Oryzias latipes: one gene and its partners. The protein of the gene in region 3 interacts with the protein of the main gene of each other region in a biochemical or structural test. Links are inferred from orthologs where the notes say so. Each region holds a gene or a part of one and is shown on either strand. Other genes may lie near its edges.

Region 1 (4,256 bases), on a different chromosome or scaffold from region 3:
TTGCAGAATGGAACAGACATTATTTATTGAAATAAACAAATCAGATATAAATATATGTTTTTAATTTATTCTGAGAAATGGTAAATTTATGAGCAATTCGTGTATTTTGGTGAAATGCATGTAACTATAAATGTTTCTGGACTTTTACAAAACGATAACAACCTGTTTTAAAGATTTCCCTTTTCCCTGCCTGTAGGTCAAGGACATCTTAAAACCCGAGGTGATGGAAGAGATTGTCATGTTGACCCAACAGAAGCTGCTGGAACAGGAAGGATAAAAGGCTAATGCTAAAACCACATCCAACAACGGGGCCACCATCCACTTATCCAAAAATTAAGTTTAGTTGTCTTCTATGAATCAAAGTGAGGTGCTCAGAGATCACATTCTTTATTTGATATCAAACATTAATAATGCATATAACCTGAATGAAAATTAAAATGTTGTCCACATTTGTAAATGCTCGGTGTGACATTACATTGTGATGGTTTTGTATAAAATAAAATTTCAGTCATTTCTGTATAGTTCTCATCGTGGTCTGTATTGATAAAAAACAATGAGTACATTGAATCAATTAACCTATAAGAACCCATGGTGGACATAATTGTAACAAAATCATCAAAAGTGTGTTCTTTGGTCCACTTGGATTTTTGTATATTCAAAATAATTTTCGTTTGAAGGAAAATGGGTCTTCAGGGTTAATGTTAGATCTTAAAATAAATCTGATTATTTCACTCTTCATTAAATGTTAAATTAAATATTGTTAAATGTTTAGCAGCATTTTGGTGCTTCATGCTTCTACTAACTTAAATACTTTTTTTTCATAACAGTCTGAATCATTAGCTCTCAAGAAATGTTTTTTATTTTAAACAATAAAAAAATGAAATTCAATTTGCTACATAAAATATTTATTAGTTGGAACATGGCCTACATTTCCCTTTTTATGTACTAATTTTTGAAAATTCATTAATTGTTAGTTTTATATGCAGGATTTAATTTTTTTTCTCATAGTTGTTTGATAACTAAAAAAAATGTTCTACTCTAAGACAGGTTAATAAAAAGTGACTTTATTTATATAAAAGTGTGCAATCACCTTTGTTATTCCTGAATGTTTTTTCTAACCAACCTTGTATTCTTTTAAATGAAGAAAGCTAAAAAAAGAATTCGATTTATCCCTGCTGGGATGGCTTTTCCCCTTCTGTTTCCCTTCCTGCTCCTCCAGCAGAATCCAAACTCGTGCGCTTCCCTCATTTTTTTTCCAAACTTTATTGATCATAACATTAAATTTACAAAACATAACATCAAGGAATAAAATAGATCAGCATCAACAACTATTGTCATCATTCCAAACTTATTCAACCACAGCAAGTAACAAACGTAGCAGAAACATATCAAAAACGTGCGCTTCCCTCATGGTTTTTTTTTTTTTTTTTTGCGCTTCCCTCATGGTGCTAGCCCACGCTGAGCTCGTGACGTCACACGTAGCCCCACCCACATATTTCTGTAAACCACCTTACGTATGGAAGTATGGCGGTTCCAGCGACAGAACTGGAACTCGGCCAAAGTTTACTGCTCAGGTTTTCACGTGAAAGTGATGAATAAGCACGCAAGCATAGAGCTCGCTAGTAAAGGGCACGGCGGCTGGGAATTCGGGAGAAAATCTAGGAGACAGAGTCGTCTGGCCCTCAGAGTTCCCTCAACTTCGCCTACAAGTGGCTTTAGAGACGCGGGGGGAGACGCTCCACAAAACGGGAAGAGTGGACGCGGAAGTTTGAAACACACCAACAAGTGCTTTGATTTTTGGTTACAGAGTGTGAAACTGCGGTCACGGGACATGTTTTGGTGAGATAATGAAGTGGACTTGACTGCGGTTACCAGCAGAAACCAACCGTTGACTGTCCGGCGTGCATAGGGGTCTGGCGCTGCTTACCACCAGCAGAAGTTTGGTTAGCTTATGGCTATCGTCAACATTAGCTGGAGCTAACCAACAGTGTCAATGTTTTCATGTAAGTTTACCTCACATTTAAACACTTATCAACGTTTTATTTTTTAACTGTACAGTTTTATTAGAGTCAAAAACAAAGATGTCGTTGTCACAAAGTTGTTTATAGTTAATTAAACCACGTATGACACTAGTTTACATTATTGTGCTCGAAAGATTAAGACTAAGATAGTCGAGATAAACAACATAAGGTGTCGCTTTTCTTTAGTACTGATAAGCAAATGTATTTTCAGTATTTGTAGTTAGTTATGTGAAGCTGTAACTAAACCGAGACTAACCCAACACTATTATTTTGAGGCTGTGATTGACGTTAAACAATTTAGAAAAGTAGTTGTTCGAACCCTAAACCTAACAAACTTGAGGAAATACTTTCAATTTAACTCTCAACTTCTACAGAACAAGACATTTTTGAGCAGTTTTAACATTAAAAAGACACTTATTCTAAATTATAATTAATTTAATCTTTTGATCTGATTGGTCAGGCTCTAAAATTATTTTTTTAATCTAGATTATTATAAAATGCATTTCATGTTATTATTTAACATGTGGTCAGGTCTAATACTTTTTACAGAACAGAAATAGTCTTAAAACAACTCCCAAAATTGAAAGTTTGTTGGCGTATTGCTTAAAAGACATTTTTTTACAAGCTTATTTGTCATTTCTTTATTTAAAAAAAGTTTGATCAGATAACTTTGAATGCTGATTACTGTTGTTTACGTTTCTGCAGATTCCTGTTAGGTCCCTCATATGTCGTCTGAATGCATAAAAAAACTGAACCCTACTGGAGTAACACAGACTTGTGCAGGAGGCCTGCATCACCAATACTCCAGGAGAAGACAGTGTGAGCCCGGAAAGAGGCTCCTGTCTTCTCCAGATCCCGCCATTGCCGCTCAGCAAGCTTTCTAACCGACTCCGTCCGACTTGGATAGTCCCGGCTGCAGCCTGGCACCCTGCCCTTATGGGGCAGCAGCCGGGAAAGTTTGTCGGGGACCAAAGGAGACCCAGTCTTCCAGCCTTTATTAAGGGGGGAAAGAAGGACTTACCGCGCCATGTGAATCAGCCGATGAATGTTTTTGATTGGCACGGTAAGATCACAACCCCACTCATTTTTAAGGTAAAAATTCAGAGACAAAAAATACTGAAGGACAATCATTTGCTTTTTTCCACTTCCTATTGGCAATCACAAATTCTAGATATTAATGTCTGCATTCAATAGGCTCATGTTTTTTAATCAGTTTATATTTTAGAAGACTTTGTCTTGCGTGCACTAGCTTCAGCAAAATCTTTGGCAGAAAATTTAGGGGATTTGACATCTTTGTCATTGATTAAAAAGCTGGCAAAACAATCCATGCAACCTGAGCAGAAAATCAAATCTATGCAGCTTCAAAATCTGATCCAAAGGTATTTTACCAAACTTTTTAACCTTAAATTTACCTTTTTAAATGCAAATTCAATTGCAAATGCATTTTCCTGCAGATAAATTAACCTGGATGACAAGTTTGTGCTTAGTTTGGCCTTATATGATATAATTATTATTGGATTAATATTTCACAGATGTTTCAAAGTTCCCTGAGAAAATAAAAGCGTTTTCTCTCACATCAACTTCCATTACGGTGTGATCAATGATATGCCACTTTGAAAATGTTGTGCCTAAATCAAAAGTGTATAGGGATGTTTAAAACTCAGTCATAGATATGTAATTAAATATGAAGCTTACTTCAAAGCATTTTACAACATTATCCAATACAACCTATTGCTGAATATAACATAAAAACCTTTGTTCTTAAGCTAAAAGCTTGCTTGTCAGTAAAATGTTGACTTAAAACCTTATTTAAACACTTTTTCTTGTGATTTTTAAAATGAAAACATTTGTGCTTGTGATTAGGATTTACAATCATCATTTTTTTATGATCTGAAAAAGAGTTTACAACTGTGCTCCAAATGTACCGGATGCAATCTGATTAAAAATTGCAAATTATTCATTAATGTGGAGGACTAAAGCCCCTTTGGATTGATTTTGAAATTAAAAAAAAAAGCTTGATAGTTAGAGTGGGAAGGGAAAGAGGAAGAAGATGGAATGAACAAATTCCATTAGGAAAAAAAAACAGGGATTTTGTGGGCTTTTGGCCACAAAAGCAGAGCAAAATTAAATGCAATTTAAACCATTTCTGTCATTAGTATTTTGAAGGAGTATGAAAGCTATTTTAGCGTGCGATCATGCTCAATGATACCATCTCTGTTTTCTTATGTTATGTCC
Region 2 (4,250 bases), on a different chromosome or scaffold from region 3:
CTAATGTTTACATACATTTAAGTATTGTTTGTAACTGTGAAATGACCGACAGGTTACTATGGTAATCACTTGTTACTAAAAACTTTTTTTAATTTTTAAATGTATGGTATTTTGTTTACTTATTTGTACTGTCATGACAGCGATGCTGCTGTCAGTTTACCTGTTGTTGCATCTTCAAAAGGGCAGAATAAAATGTGACACCGAATTTGAAACAGCACATTGTAATTTCTGCATCTATTATTTAAGTATTTATCAGTAATACAGTGGAAATTAATAGATTTGGTTTGCATGTTGATTTACGGTATGCGCCCTTAAATTTTCTGGTTGTGCCCTTAAAATTTTCAGTTGAGGGCCACAGTGCTCCTAGTGAAAAAAGTTAGTCTGGAGCCCTGCGAACGTCAACAGGAAACGACGACATGCGAGGAAACGAAGCCCGAGAAACACGGAGGCCATGATGGAACCGCGGGAAGACAAAAACTCATCCAGCCGCTTCTTTTTCTTTACGTGTCTGTAAAGAACATTTACTCACCTCTTCATACACACACAAACGCACAATTACACACCAATAGCAGCAGAGCTGTCACCCGAGGCACTAACTAGGGGTTCGGTGTCAAACCCAAGGACACTTCAACATGGGTGAGCAGAATGGGAACCAAACCTGAAATCAGATGTCGACTGCTCTACTTATGACACGCCCACCCCATTTGAAAACCCTTTAGATGTTTCATGAAATGCACCAGAAACAGAAGCGAAACGTCCCGGTTCCACTGAAGTCCGCTGCTGCCGGTTCTGCTCTTTACCTTGGTCATATCTTGAGGATCAGGCACCACAAACATGCCGGGAGGAGGTTCCTTGTAGATGGACATGATATCCCTGCAGACAGAAAGAACAATGTGAAGAACCCCCCCCAAAACATAAGAGCGCCTGAGCAAAGCAGAGAGGCGGGAAACACGTCTGCATGCGCAGACACCGTGGGATGCGTCTGCAAAACGTGTCTGCATGCGTCTGCGTGAGACGTTCTTCGCAGAGTCGGAGGTGAACTGCATCTGTCCAGGACCCATGTTTGACGACCACGAGGGAAGATTCAACCAGGAAATGGGTTTCTTCACCAGCTTTTCAACATTTGTGAGTTTCTGTCCATCAAAGAAGGCCGGAAAAAATAAAGCTACGCAAAACAAATCGGTGACAAACTGCAGAATAACCTGCATCACAGTATCTGCCTGTCAAAACTAAGTAACATTATTTTAAGCGCTGTAAGAAACTTGCCTCCATGTAGACGACAAGATCCGTGTACGTCTTTGTTTTCCTCAAAAATATACAAAACTCCAATATTGCTCGTGGCTTTTTGCACCAATCGTGTTTTAGGTTGTGAGGAGCTGTAAGCTAGCAGGACAGGGTAAACAGAAAGCTGACGTGACCACAAAAACGGCGAGCGATATCAGATATATGCAGCCGTACAGTTTAGATCCAATGCCAGTCCGGACGAGGAAAAACAAAGACGCTCATGGATCCATTTGTCTGCAGGGGGAGGCATCAGGGAGACTGAACATCACATCACCTGCACCATGTTAGGCTAAACTTGAGTTCTAATCACTTGGGCAGATGAGATATATATTTTTTCTTCTGAACTTGCTGCTGTGATGGGACGGGGATGACCTGCAGGCCCTCTCTTCAGGAAATGTCTGATAAGAGAGTAAATCAAGTTTCTCTGAGTTTTGGAAGGGAAACTCAAAAAGTTCAGAACTTCCTGTGACTTTTCAAGATGGGAAACTTTTACTTTCACTTTCTCGGTGGCTGAGGCGTGGGACCCGTGGCTAAAACTAAATAACTCTTTTCAGAGGGACCTAGTTGAAAAGGTGGTGAGGTCAGGTGAGGTCAAGAGGATTGGGGGGGTCTCAGCAGGTGTGTGGGGGCTCTCGCTTACCTCTTTATCCTCAGAATGCACTGCTGCGACGCCTTCTCGTTGTCCCAGTCTGTGCTTAGAGACGGGTCCCAGGAAGTGGCGTGGATCTGGGACAGCAGGCCCCCTCCTGCTACGCCCAACCCCACCCCCGGCACCGGGGAGGACGCGTGCGCGATGGGAGACACGGCCACGACGGGCGGCGAGGAGGCGGGGGTGAAGGTTTCCCCGAAGCCGGCAGCGGTGGGGGTGACTGCGGCCACGGGGGCCACCAAAGCCGTAAGGCCACTCTGCGCCACCGCGGCGGGCGGGAAGGAGGCCGAGGAGGTGCTGGGGTGACCCACGCTCGCGGCGAAAAGTCCCCCCGGCAGCGAGTTGGCCAAAGCGGGGAGCGGCGAGGCTCCGCCGCCCTGTCCGGTAACGCCTAAGCCGAGCGAACCGACGCCGGACTCCTCTCCGACGCTGTCCGCCATGGCTAGCAAGCTTCCGTCAATCTGTCGCTGCTCACTAATGTGTCGAGCCGCACTTCACCGGCATTGACAGTCGAGCCTGGAGTTACGCCTGCGGTTCCGGGCCGGGCGGGATCAGAGAGCGACCGAACGCAGCGCAGGCGATGCCGGAGAACGAGACGCTTCTTCCCACGACATGATGATGATGGCTATTCCGCGTTAGCTTCGCCCAACATTTCCCGGGCCTCCTTGGGCTATTTAGACTTCCAAAAGGCTCCTCCGACCCCCTCCTATCGGTCACCGAATCCGTCAAACCTCCGCTAGTTGTCGCGTTAAGAAAACCGCAGAAGAAAACGGGTGACTTTCGGCCGTTTTCCGCGACTCAACTCCAGGAACAAACCGCAACTTTGGGGCTTTCTGTCCTGTCAAGTCATGGCCTCAACGGTCGACTTCCGGTCGGATTTTCAAAATAAACCTTCGGCTGTTCTTTTTCACTTTAAGATGAACCACACACTTCCGGGTGGCAAAAATACATGTTAATTAAATGTAAAATAAACTCCTAGGGACCTAGAGGCCCCAAAGGCACAACTTACTCATTAGACATGTTCAAGAGAATTAATATTAAAAAAATATCATAATTTATTACCTAAATTATCAGCAGAAAACAAAAAATAAAACTAAAAAATGACCAGATGTAACCTGGGAGCATTACTAGGGGTGATCCGACCTGTGGGAATGTGATCAGAATATCAAAGAGTATTGCACTTGCAGTTTATTTTATTAAGTTTACCTGAAGTATAGAAAGTCTACTATGAATGATGCACGTTTAGTGTAACTGTGTACCAACTAAACCCTTCCTCAGACTAAATTGAAACATTTTAGGTTTTCAATATAGAGAAGTAAACTTCAAGTATGCTGCCTCACTAAGTTGTAGTACACCTAGACTATTGCCAAATTAAAATAAAAAGTCAAACGAAGCTTAAAATTGTTGAGAACACAAAGTGATGTTTCCTAGATCAACAGCTGTTCAAACTGTAAATACTGAATTGGTTTTTCCTTAAAAAACACATTCATTATGATAACCAAATAGTAAGAAACAGTTGAAAAAGAAAGGCAAAAACGATATGTCTCAGATAAGAGGTTAATATCTTTAATCAAATGAAGTAAAAAAAACAAACATTGATAAGATCAACAATTCCTGAAGGATCTGGATCCTTTGTGTCAAAAAAGGAAAAAAAAAGTTATTATTGCTAAAATATGGAGGACTTTAAGCATGCTGACTGACGTTTAAAATAATCAGAGGGTCTGAGATACAAATGTGAACCTAAACTCGGTTAGTCTCGGTTTGTTTGGGCTCTGAATTTGTTCTAGGTCTCAGCTTGGACTGCAGCCACGTACCAAGTCCTCCGGTTCAAGAACCGGCTTGGGGGGACCTGAAACAGAACATCAATTTCTGTGTGCAGTTTGCATGTTTTCCCTGTACATACAAGGGCTTCCTCCCACCATCCAATAACATGCTTCATAGGTTTATTGGTCACTCTAAATTGCCCCTAGGTGTGAATGTGCATGGGTGTGTGATTGTGGCCCTGCGACAGACTGGCGGCCCGTCCAGGGTGACCCCATACTTCACCTGCAAGGCGTCTGTGAATGAGATGAATTAATTTGCATGCAGAGCATTGACTGTATATGACAACTAGACAGTGACTCCTCCCACTTTGGCATTCCAAACAGGAATTCATCGCTGCCTCCAAGAAAGCCAAAATCCAGTACACTTCTGTAGAGAAATAAACAGCTGTTATTCTATTGTCAGACTAACTATTGTGGCTCTGATACCTTTAACTTGTTTTTGGTAATGCACTGGATTTTGTAACTTCAAAAGAATCTTGTCTGATCAGAATCGG
Region 3 (4,186 bases):
CCCCTGCTCTGAACTGGATTGGACCGGTTTGAGGATAAGGCATAAGTATTGACTGGTTCCGGGGTGTTGTGGAACCAATTCTCGAAAAAAGTTGAAACTCAGAAATGTTCTGGACCCGTTCTGGTTGTCCAGGTCTCAGGAACTGAAAATGGTTTCTTCCTCTTTGGTGTAAATAGCAGCAGGATATCCTAAAATGGTCATCAGGTGGGGATGCCGCATACGGTCACACCTGTATGGTCAGAACTGACACTTAGCTTTGCGTATGGAGTAATGTAATTAGATTCAAACATACACAATTGCCCTCCCCTTTTACCTCCCTTTCACCTGTATGGCGGCACCTGCCGTTTCCCAAAGGCATCATGGGAAATGAAGCTGGATCATCAAACCAGTTTGCCGCTGTGAAACACGATTGGATCGATCATCTGTGGTTTTCATCCACAAAACTGGTCCTTTAAACGACGAGCAGGTCCAAAACTGCATCGACACCGGACCCGTGAGCAGTTATCCAACTTTTGATCCATTTAGTTGATTGATGGTCAGAAGAACTTTCTGTCCCTGTTGGCAGTTTTCCCTACCTCGCTCCAGTGGATTGGGCTGATTAGGCCAGCCAGGCTGCTGATGCTGTGTTTTGATTGGCTGACGGTGTTCTTTGTTATCTGGCTGGCCAGTCAATCTTGGTTACTATAACAACAGTTTAATCATCAGCAGGCAGAAATGGGTGTTCTATTCTTCAAAATAAAAGCTTCTAGCAGAAATCCACGCTGGAGTCCGAGGGATGTGTCCCGGCGCTCCTCAGAGAAAACTATCTTGTCGGGTCCTAAGACGTCTGTTGGTAAGGTGGAATGTTCTGATGTTCCAGAAACAAAGTTGTCATGACAGCATTGGCTCCTCCTCACATATAAAGGTGTTCTTCGTGTTCTCCAGCTCCCGCCACGGTGTATGGAGCATGCTGATGAACTGGGACAGATGTTTGGTCAGTTCAAGCCTCTGGACTCCACGTTCATTTGGAGCAGCTCTCACCAAAATAAAAGCTTTTCCTGTGCCCGCCCAGGAACAGTTATTGAAAAAGAGTTGGCTTGGAGTTAATTTAATGGTGACATATTTATTTTGGTCTCAATGCCTATGACCCCCCCCTTTCACCAAGAGACAAAAACACTCAGTCCCTCCCACCATGTTCCAGTTTTGTTTCTGACACCTCTCCTGTCTACAGTTTAGACCAGTGTTGTGTTGGTTTGTTGCAGTGGGGGGGTGATGGTGGTTTTCATTGTATCGTGTTTGCCAATAGAATAAAGCTGTTGACATGTTTGTCTCGTCTTTGGAATAAACTTCTATCCAGGCTGTTTTTACTTCCTGCCTCCAGCAGGAGGAGCACACATGGAAGCACGGAGCCACAGGGAATTTTTGGGGATACCATCAATTGTAGATCCAGTCAGCTTTAAATTTAGGCAGAACATAAAGGTTAATCCAAAGTCAAACCACAGCTATAGAGCACATGGGAGACAATCTGCATACATACACCCTTTAAATAAGCCAATATTTCAAAATAATCGAGTGCAAGCTGACTTTATCTGTATCCTGTAGAAGGTTCCGGCTGAGGAGCGCGCGCCAGGATCTGCTGTCACTGAGGACACATGGATAAGTCATCCAACCTTTCCGATCAAAGATCGACTGTAGTGGATATTTAGTACCAGCTGCTATTTTCTAGATGTTTCAAAAACAACCACTGAATGGCTGTTGAGTTTATTCATCGTCAGAGTTTGAATTTTAATCGTGTTTTTTGTTAAGTACATACACTTCCGGTGTTGTTTACGTCACACTGTACAGCGGACCGACGCCGGAAACATAGGAGAAAATGTACTACAGCTCCCAGAATGCTTAGCGAATGAGAAGGCTGATGATCGGTGAGTTCCGAACCGGGTCCCCAGTTCCAAACCGGGATATCTTCGACTGACCAATCGCGCTGATCTTATCTGGTCTGTCCGCGTTCCCGTCAGTTAGATCGGTCCCGGGCCAACATTAAGCGCGGGTTTAAGATGGGGTCGGTTGGGTTGACGCCGGGACCTTGCACCGGCGTTAAACTGTAAACATACAGATACACAACATGAATGTGTTGAAGCTGCTTAGTTATTTATCATGGTTGATTTCCCAGAATTTTGTTAACAAAACAAGCGGACATGTTTTGTTTGTTGGCTTAACCTTATGTGACCGTCTACTTCTTCCCAAATAAATCCGCTTCAGCGTGACACTTCTGTAATTTATGTACATTTCCAAGTTGGCACAATACCACAAACACCACAAGTAATGCACAAAAATAGCAGTAAAAATAATAAAGGAATACAGTTTGTTTACAGACTTTTACAAATTCGTGTTGTCTTATAATACTGCTCTGACTGTCTCATTAAAATAACATGATCCTGACAGTAAAAACACAGCTCTGGATTTCCATTTTGCCATTAAACCTTTATTTAAGCCGTCTTTCTTAATCCACAAGTTTTTGTTTAACAAGTCTGTCTCTAATCTAATATTCATTTCTAAACTCCCAGAGAAAACTGCTGCAGATCAACTCTGTGAGCGTTTGAACAGAATAATTTGTGATGAGTTTTAGTCAGAATTTCCCATATCATAGCTCTGCTGAAGGTAACCATGACCTCATGGCTGCCTGTACTTGTGTCTGTGCATGTTCTTTTAGGCCTCAGTGCTGTTTGTTTGACATACTTGATTAGAACGTTTTGTTGCAGCTAATAGAATATGGCATTGTCAAAATGCTTCCAACACTAGTATGAAGCACAGAAAACATTTCCATTGGTCATTTTTGTCATGAGATGAACTTGAATTTCTGAAACATTTTCTACATACACAATATAACAATTTCTTTCAATTATTGCTGACAAAACTGCCTACATTTGTGATATTTAGCACTTCTGCTTTGCTGAGATGATCCATCTCACCTCACTGGTGTGCCATATCAAGATGCTGTTTAGACAGCATGATTATTGCACAAAAGACTGGCCTCAAAAAGAGGCCAGTCTGAAATGTGCCGTTTTGCTTTGTTGGGGGTCTGGGGACTCAGAAAGCCGGTCAGTATCTGGTTTGACCAACATTTGCGGCATGCAGTGCAACCCATCTTCTCTGCACAGAGTTCATCAGATTGTCAGGTGGCATGTATACTTTCAAGAGAATCTGAGACCAGCCACTCAGACAGCTGCTGAAACAATTGGTTCGCAAAACCCCAAAAAATCTCCACAGAAACCATCTCAGGTAAGCTCATCTGCATGCTTGTTGTCCTCATCGATGCTAAAGCCCGACTCCAGTTTGTTGTCATAACCGACTTGAGAGGGCAAATGCTCACATGACACATGGAGAAGTGCTCTCTTCACGAATAAATCCTGACTCATTCTCTTTACTGGACATGTCAGACAGAACAGAGGTGCATTTGATTGACAGCATTTTGAATGCACAGAGACCCGGTGGGCCGTTGTATCCCATACATCCAACAACATCACCCCATGTTGCAGCATGATATTGCACGGCCCTGTGTTGCAAGGATCTGAACACAATTCTTGGAAGCTGGAAAAACATCCCAGTTCTTGCGTGGCCAGCATCGTCACCGGACATGTCACACATTGAGTATGTTTGGGATGCTCTGGATCAGCGGATACGACCGCGTGTTCCAGTTCCTGCAAACATCCAGCAACTTTACACAGCCATTGAAGAGGAGTGGGCCAACATTCCCTTAATCGCAAACCTTATCAGCTCTGTGTGAAGGAGATGCACTGCATGAGGTAAATGTTGGTCACACCAGATACTGACCGGCTTTCTGAGTCCCCAGACCCCCAATAAAGCAAAACGGCACATTTCAGACTGGCCTTTTATTGAGGCCAGTCTAAGGCACACTTGTGCAAAGATCATGCTGAGGAAAAAGCATCTTGATATGGCACACCTATGAGGTGGGAGGGATTATCTCAGGAGAAGTGCTCACTATCACAGATTTAGACGGATTTTATGGACAATATTTGAAAGAAATTGTTATTTTTGTGTTTGTAGGAAATGTTCAGATCTTTGAAATCAGCTTAAGACAAACGGGAGCAAAAACAAAACTGTTGCGTTTATATTTTTGTTCAGTGTAGTTTCAAAGATTTCAAGTCTTGGATGACTTCCAATTTTCTTTCACTAACTCAGAAAACAG
Region 4 (4,245 bases), on a different chromosome or scaffold from region 3:
ATCCAACTTCATAAAAGTTAACCCATTTTTCATTCATTTTCTCTTTATGTTTTCAAAAAAAATTAAGACAACAAAAACCAGAATGTAAAGAAATAGAAGGCTCTATGGTAAAATAAAAAAAGGCCATTGAAAACTTGGAATAACTACATTATGAGTCATTTTTAAGTCCAGCGATCACCCTTTTCCCCCATCTCTGTACCACACTGAGGTCTGATTTGACCAAGTGCTGCCTTTCCCTTGCCCATCAGCAAACCCAGCGAAGGAAACCATGTGTCGGCCTTCTGGCTGCAGTATGTTTGCGTTTGCAAAAGGTTAGAGAATGGAGAGAAGCCAACCCCTGTACAGGGTTTCAAGTTCAGAGCGTTGGTAGACAAAAGCAGCAAAGCTTTCACAACTTTATTTGGTGTCTTTTTCTTGTTGGTCCTCCATAGAGTTGGATTTTTCTGGTGTTAGGGGCAAAAAATGGATACTTGGGTTATTGTTCTGACATGAAAATAATATCTACATTTTCATTCTGATATGCAAAAAACTGTATATAATGGGTGTTATACATATAGGGTGTTTTGAATTTTAAATAGAGTTTACTCACCAGAGTCACTGGTTGCATGACTTTCTAACTGTCGTGGAATGCTTGGTTGTGCTTGCCTGAAAGATAATACGAAAGTCTGGTTCATAAGGCACATTTCTCCTTTCTGCTCACTAAAAAAAGACCTTTGAACATGTGTACACATATTACTGAAAGTTTTTTTTTTTGTTAAATTCAAGTTTTACAGATCAAATCCTACCGATCAAAATAAGCTTGTCTCCTCTTCCTCAGCTCCTCAGCAGTAAGTGTCTCATTCTGGCCTGGTTTATCTCCACATGTAGAACTCTGTACAGTCCGTTTTTCGGATTTCACATTTCCCACATCAGACTCTGAAGATTTGTTACTCATGCCTGATCCTAGTTAAAGGAAAAACGTCAAAAAAAGGGTTAAAAAATTCCAATATAATAAAATATTTTCAAATCAGCCTGGAGCTTTGAAATGGCACACCTTGCATGCTGAGCTGAATGGCCCTGCGAAGGTCAGCTTCTTCATCTTCCACATCCATTTCCTGTCTGCTGAGTGCCAGAGCTCTCTTTAGTTCTTCATCGTCATCCACAGCCTCATCTGATACAACGTCCATTTGCCCCCGAGCAACGGATCTGCTTCTAAAAACAGACATGTATTATGTCCAAACAAGACCTAATGTAATCCAAGCGAGGACCATTTTCCACAAACCTACCCTGAACTTGTCTGAGCCTCATCCTCTCCAATTAGCCTGGGCCGTTGCTGTTGTTGAACCCGCATTATTCCGAGAATCTGCTCTGCTTCACATTCGGGAAGATTCCCTTGGATCACAAATATGGAATATCCTGCAGAAATACATTATTTTTGTATTTGTGTACCAAAAGGTGCAATAGTGTAAACAAGTCGGCTTTACAATACCTTCTTGTTGTAGCTGTGCCAGGAAAAGAGCTAAATATGTGTCTGATATCAGCTCTGGTCCAGTCAAGAGTGAATTCAAGTTAAACCACTGTAATAATAATTAAATAAGTAAATTAAGCATCAACACACGTATTGAAAAGTAAAAAAATAAAAATCGACATACCTGTTGTCCAAGCTTGCGTATGGTGAACCAATGCTCCTTATAATTGCAAATGAAGGCCTTCTCGTTTCTTAAAGGCAAAGACATCAAGTCAGGATTTAAATGTGGGTGTGGGATCGACTTGCTATACAAGGAAGTCTTGAAAATACAACTTTACATTGGATTTATCATCAAGCTCTGGTACTCCCGGCTATTGAAGAGAATTAACTCCAATCCCCACACTCGGAGAGCATTGCTAATTACCTATAAAAATCAGTCATAAGGAGTGATAAGACAATCTTGTAAAGTTGATTGCTAATGATCATATGACAAAGCACATAAACATACTTGTATTGAAAAGAATCCGCTGTCGTCCATGTTTCCAGATGGCTGCTATAAAGTTATTATTAAAACAGTTGTTTAAATACATGTACCACTGCAGAAAACATCTGTTACCTGTCCCCACTTACCTGTAAGAAGGTCCTGTACTCTTCACTACCCATACCTCCTTCTGCCATTCTCATTCTCTCCTCTTCGTCAAGCTGATGAGCAATTGAGGACAGGTCTACAGGGGTAAAATACTCCCCCTGCAAAAGGTTGTTGAGGCAGTGCTGGGCACATAAGGAACCCTCTTGCTGAAAACAAAGAATAACTGCGTAAACGTATTGAGAAAAAAAAAGGTCTCCACTTTTTCAAAATGGAGTGCAAAAACTTACAAAACCTTGGAGATAGATTATACAAAAAGCTAAAGCAACTACAAAAAAATAAATAAAAAATAAATAATGTTTCAAACATCTAAACAACGAGCAACATACAACTTTAGTATCCTTTTTCTTTAATAATTATTGGTGGAGTCGAAGTGTACAATAAATACCGCAAACTCGTTTTCTAACTTCATTCTATTAGCTTTTAAAGAAACTTAACAACACCTGGTTAGCAAGTGAGTTAGCATTAGCAGTCTGAATAAAGCCAAAATAACATTAGATTGAAGCTAGCACCGGCTAAACACAAACTCTAAATAAATGCTAAGTGTCTTTACTCTCTCCGACTACACACGAGTAAAGGCGTTCAGTTTAATGTCACAAGTAAATTGTTTAAACCTACTTTTTCATGAAATATGGAATCCATGTTTAGATTTCTGTCAAACATTCAACTTTGACCCCTACTCCTGTAAAGATGGGAACCAATCTCTATTAGCGCCCTCTATGGATCATTTTGGAGTACAACCTCGCTCCGTTCCAACAACCGAAAGGATATTGGTCACACAGGAAACCCCCCTCCTTTTTCGGCAAATGAAATATGGCAGAGAGTAAGAAACACCTTGACGGACTGGAGCTCAGTAAGGTATGGCGTTGCAAATTAAAAACTGACAGTTATTACCGAGATTCGGATATTTGACACGTACGCGTGGGGTTATAAAATGCTACACAGAAAACGGGCTCAACGCGCAGTGACGGTCCTAAAGCTAGCAGGCAGAAGCTGGAAACGGCTAACCGCTTTACTAGCTTAGAGATGCTACAAAACAGGTTTATTTTTCGGTATTGTTTAGCATCAGCGATTTGAATCTTCGTCAGAAACGCGATCTGTTTGCAGATGTGTAGGTCAATCTGATATTTTAGTACTTAGTTTTGTCCAAAACCCCGTTTTACGAGTTTTAAACACTGAGCATCAGTCCTGTTTTTTTGAAGAATTTAGTGAAAAAAAGTTGTATCTTTCGAAAAATGAATGTGAAACTGAACATTTATTACGAACCATAATTTTATCGTTTAAATTTTCACAATGATCCTGCCAACTATTTACATCCCGATTTGTTGAGCTAATCTTCCTTCACACTAACTTATCATTGGACTTTTATTATAAAGTTTATTATATCCTAAAAGGAAAGCAGATTTGGAGAATTCAGTAACAATGTTCTAGCTTTTCTATATACACATGATCATATGTTGTCTGTAGTTCAAGGCACTAAAGACTAGAAAGTAGGGGTGTAACGTTAAATTTTAACCATGATTTGATTCATATCATTATATTTTTTAGTTGCTGATATGATTCATAGGTGATATTGGTTCATTTTGAACGATACGATTTATAGACTGAAAATCGATTCAGGACATTTTAGCCAAAAAATCAACCAGTGTGTGACTCGGTGATAAATACCTGGGTACTGTAGAGCAGGTGAAGGATTCTCCTGCAAGAATGTGTAAATTAAATAAATAATAAAGTGTGAATTAAATATGTGTACAAGCAAACAAGTGAACAGGGATTAATGGCAAATCCATTGACATTTTAGTTTCCTAAAGTTCAGCCCACAACAAAATAATCTAAACAGAACATTATTAGAACATTCTACCACACTTTATGGTCACATGTCTTTGTAAAAAGTGTTTCCACACATTGGACTGTAATTATGGATTGATCCTTTTTTGCAGCCATCACATGTGTGTTGTCCTCTGTGATGACACCGATTCATATTTATGTTGTTGTGAAATAAACTTACCGTGCCTCAATCCAGATGGTATTCACTAATATCAGCTCTAATCGATTCATTTTGAAACAATTTTATAATAGTAAAGGTCGATGCAATTATCAATTTGCCTCGGACAGATTGATCTGGTTGGATTATATCTATAAGAAACATAAT

What was found.
Region 1: the proteins of prkn (region 3) and abl1 form a complex in vitro, tested with the Homo sapiens proteins (2 studies listed by BioGRID, with this or other methods). The link is inferred for Oryzias latipes from reciprocal best matches to the Homo sapiens genes PRKN and ABL1.
Region 2: the proteins of prkn (region 3) and ube2z form a complex in vitro, tested with the Homo sapiens proteins (2 studies listed by BioGRID). The link is inferred for Oryzias latipes from reciprocal best matches to the Homo sapiens genes PRKN and UBE2Z.
Region 4: the proteins of prkn (region 3) and ataxin-3 form a complex in vitro, tested with the Homo sapiens proteins (4 studies listed by BioGRID and IntAct, with this or other methods). The link is inferred for Oryzias latipes from reciprocal best matches to the Homo sapiens genes PRKN and ATXN3.

What each region holds. Positions count from the first base shown.
Region 1 is NC_019870.2:12,824,770-12,829,025, reverse strand, and holds the start of abl1 (tyrosine-protein kinase ABL1), read left to right. Parts: upstream 1-1,456; 5' UTR 1,457-2,003; intron 2,004-2,726; 5' UTR 2,727-2,957; coding exon 2,958-3,084; intron 3,085-4,256. Other genes in the region: exosc2 (exosome complex component RRP4), read left to right, coding at 197-277. UniProt on the Homo sapiens protein: Non-receptor tyrosine-protein kinase that plays a role in many key processes linked to cell growth and survival such as cytoskeleton remodeling in response to extracellular stimuli, cell motility and adhesion, receptor endocytosis, autophagy, DNA damage response and apoptosis.
Region 2 is NC_019866.2:24,086,811-24,091,060, forward strand, and holds the start of ube2z (ubiquitin-conjugating enzyme E2 Z), read right to left. Parts: upstream 2,801-4,250; 5' UTR 2,374-2,800; coding exon 1,925-2,373; intron 874-1,924; coding exon 801-873; intron 1-800. UniProt on the Homo sapiens protein: Catalyzes the covalent attachment of ubiquitin to other proteins. Specific substrate for UBA6, not charged with ubiquitin by UBE1. May be involved in apoptosis regulation.
Region 3 is NC_019873.2:12,960,432-12,964,617, forward strand, and holds the start of prkn (E3 ubiquitin-protein ligase parkin), read left to right. Parts: upstream 1-1,386; 5' UTR 1,387-1,882; coding exon 1,883-1,901; intron 1,902-4,186. UniProt on the Homo sapiens protein: Functions within a multiprotein E3 ubiquitin ligase complex, catalyzing the covalent attachment of ubiquitin moieties onto substrate proteins. Substrates include SYT11 and VDAC1.
Region 4 is NC_019880.2:12,489,184-12,493,428, forward strand, and holds the start of ataxin-3, read right to left. Parts: upstream 2,801-4,245; 5' UTR 2,757-2,800; coding exon 2,712-2,756; intron 2,243-2,711; coding exon 2,078-2,242; intron 2,001-2,077; coding exon 1,956-2,000; intron 1,872-1,955; coding exon 1,786-1,871; intron 1,699-1,785; coding exon 1,632-1,698; intron 1,557-1,631; coding exon 1,469-1,556; intron 1,396-1,468; coding exon 1,266-1,395; intron 1,192-1,265; coding exon 1,034-1,191; intron 943-1,033; coding exon 786-942; intron 646-785; coding exon 590-645; intron 444-589; coding exon 397-443; 3' UTR 1-396. Other genes in the region: E3 ubiquitin-protein ligase UBR1, read left to right, coding at 2,907-2,951. UniProt on the Homo sapiens protein: Deubiquitinating enzyme involved in protein homeostasis maintenance, transcription, cytoskeleton regulation, myogenesis and degradation of misfolded chaperone substrates.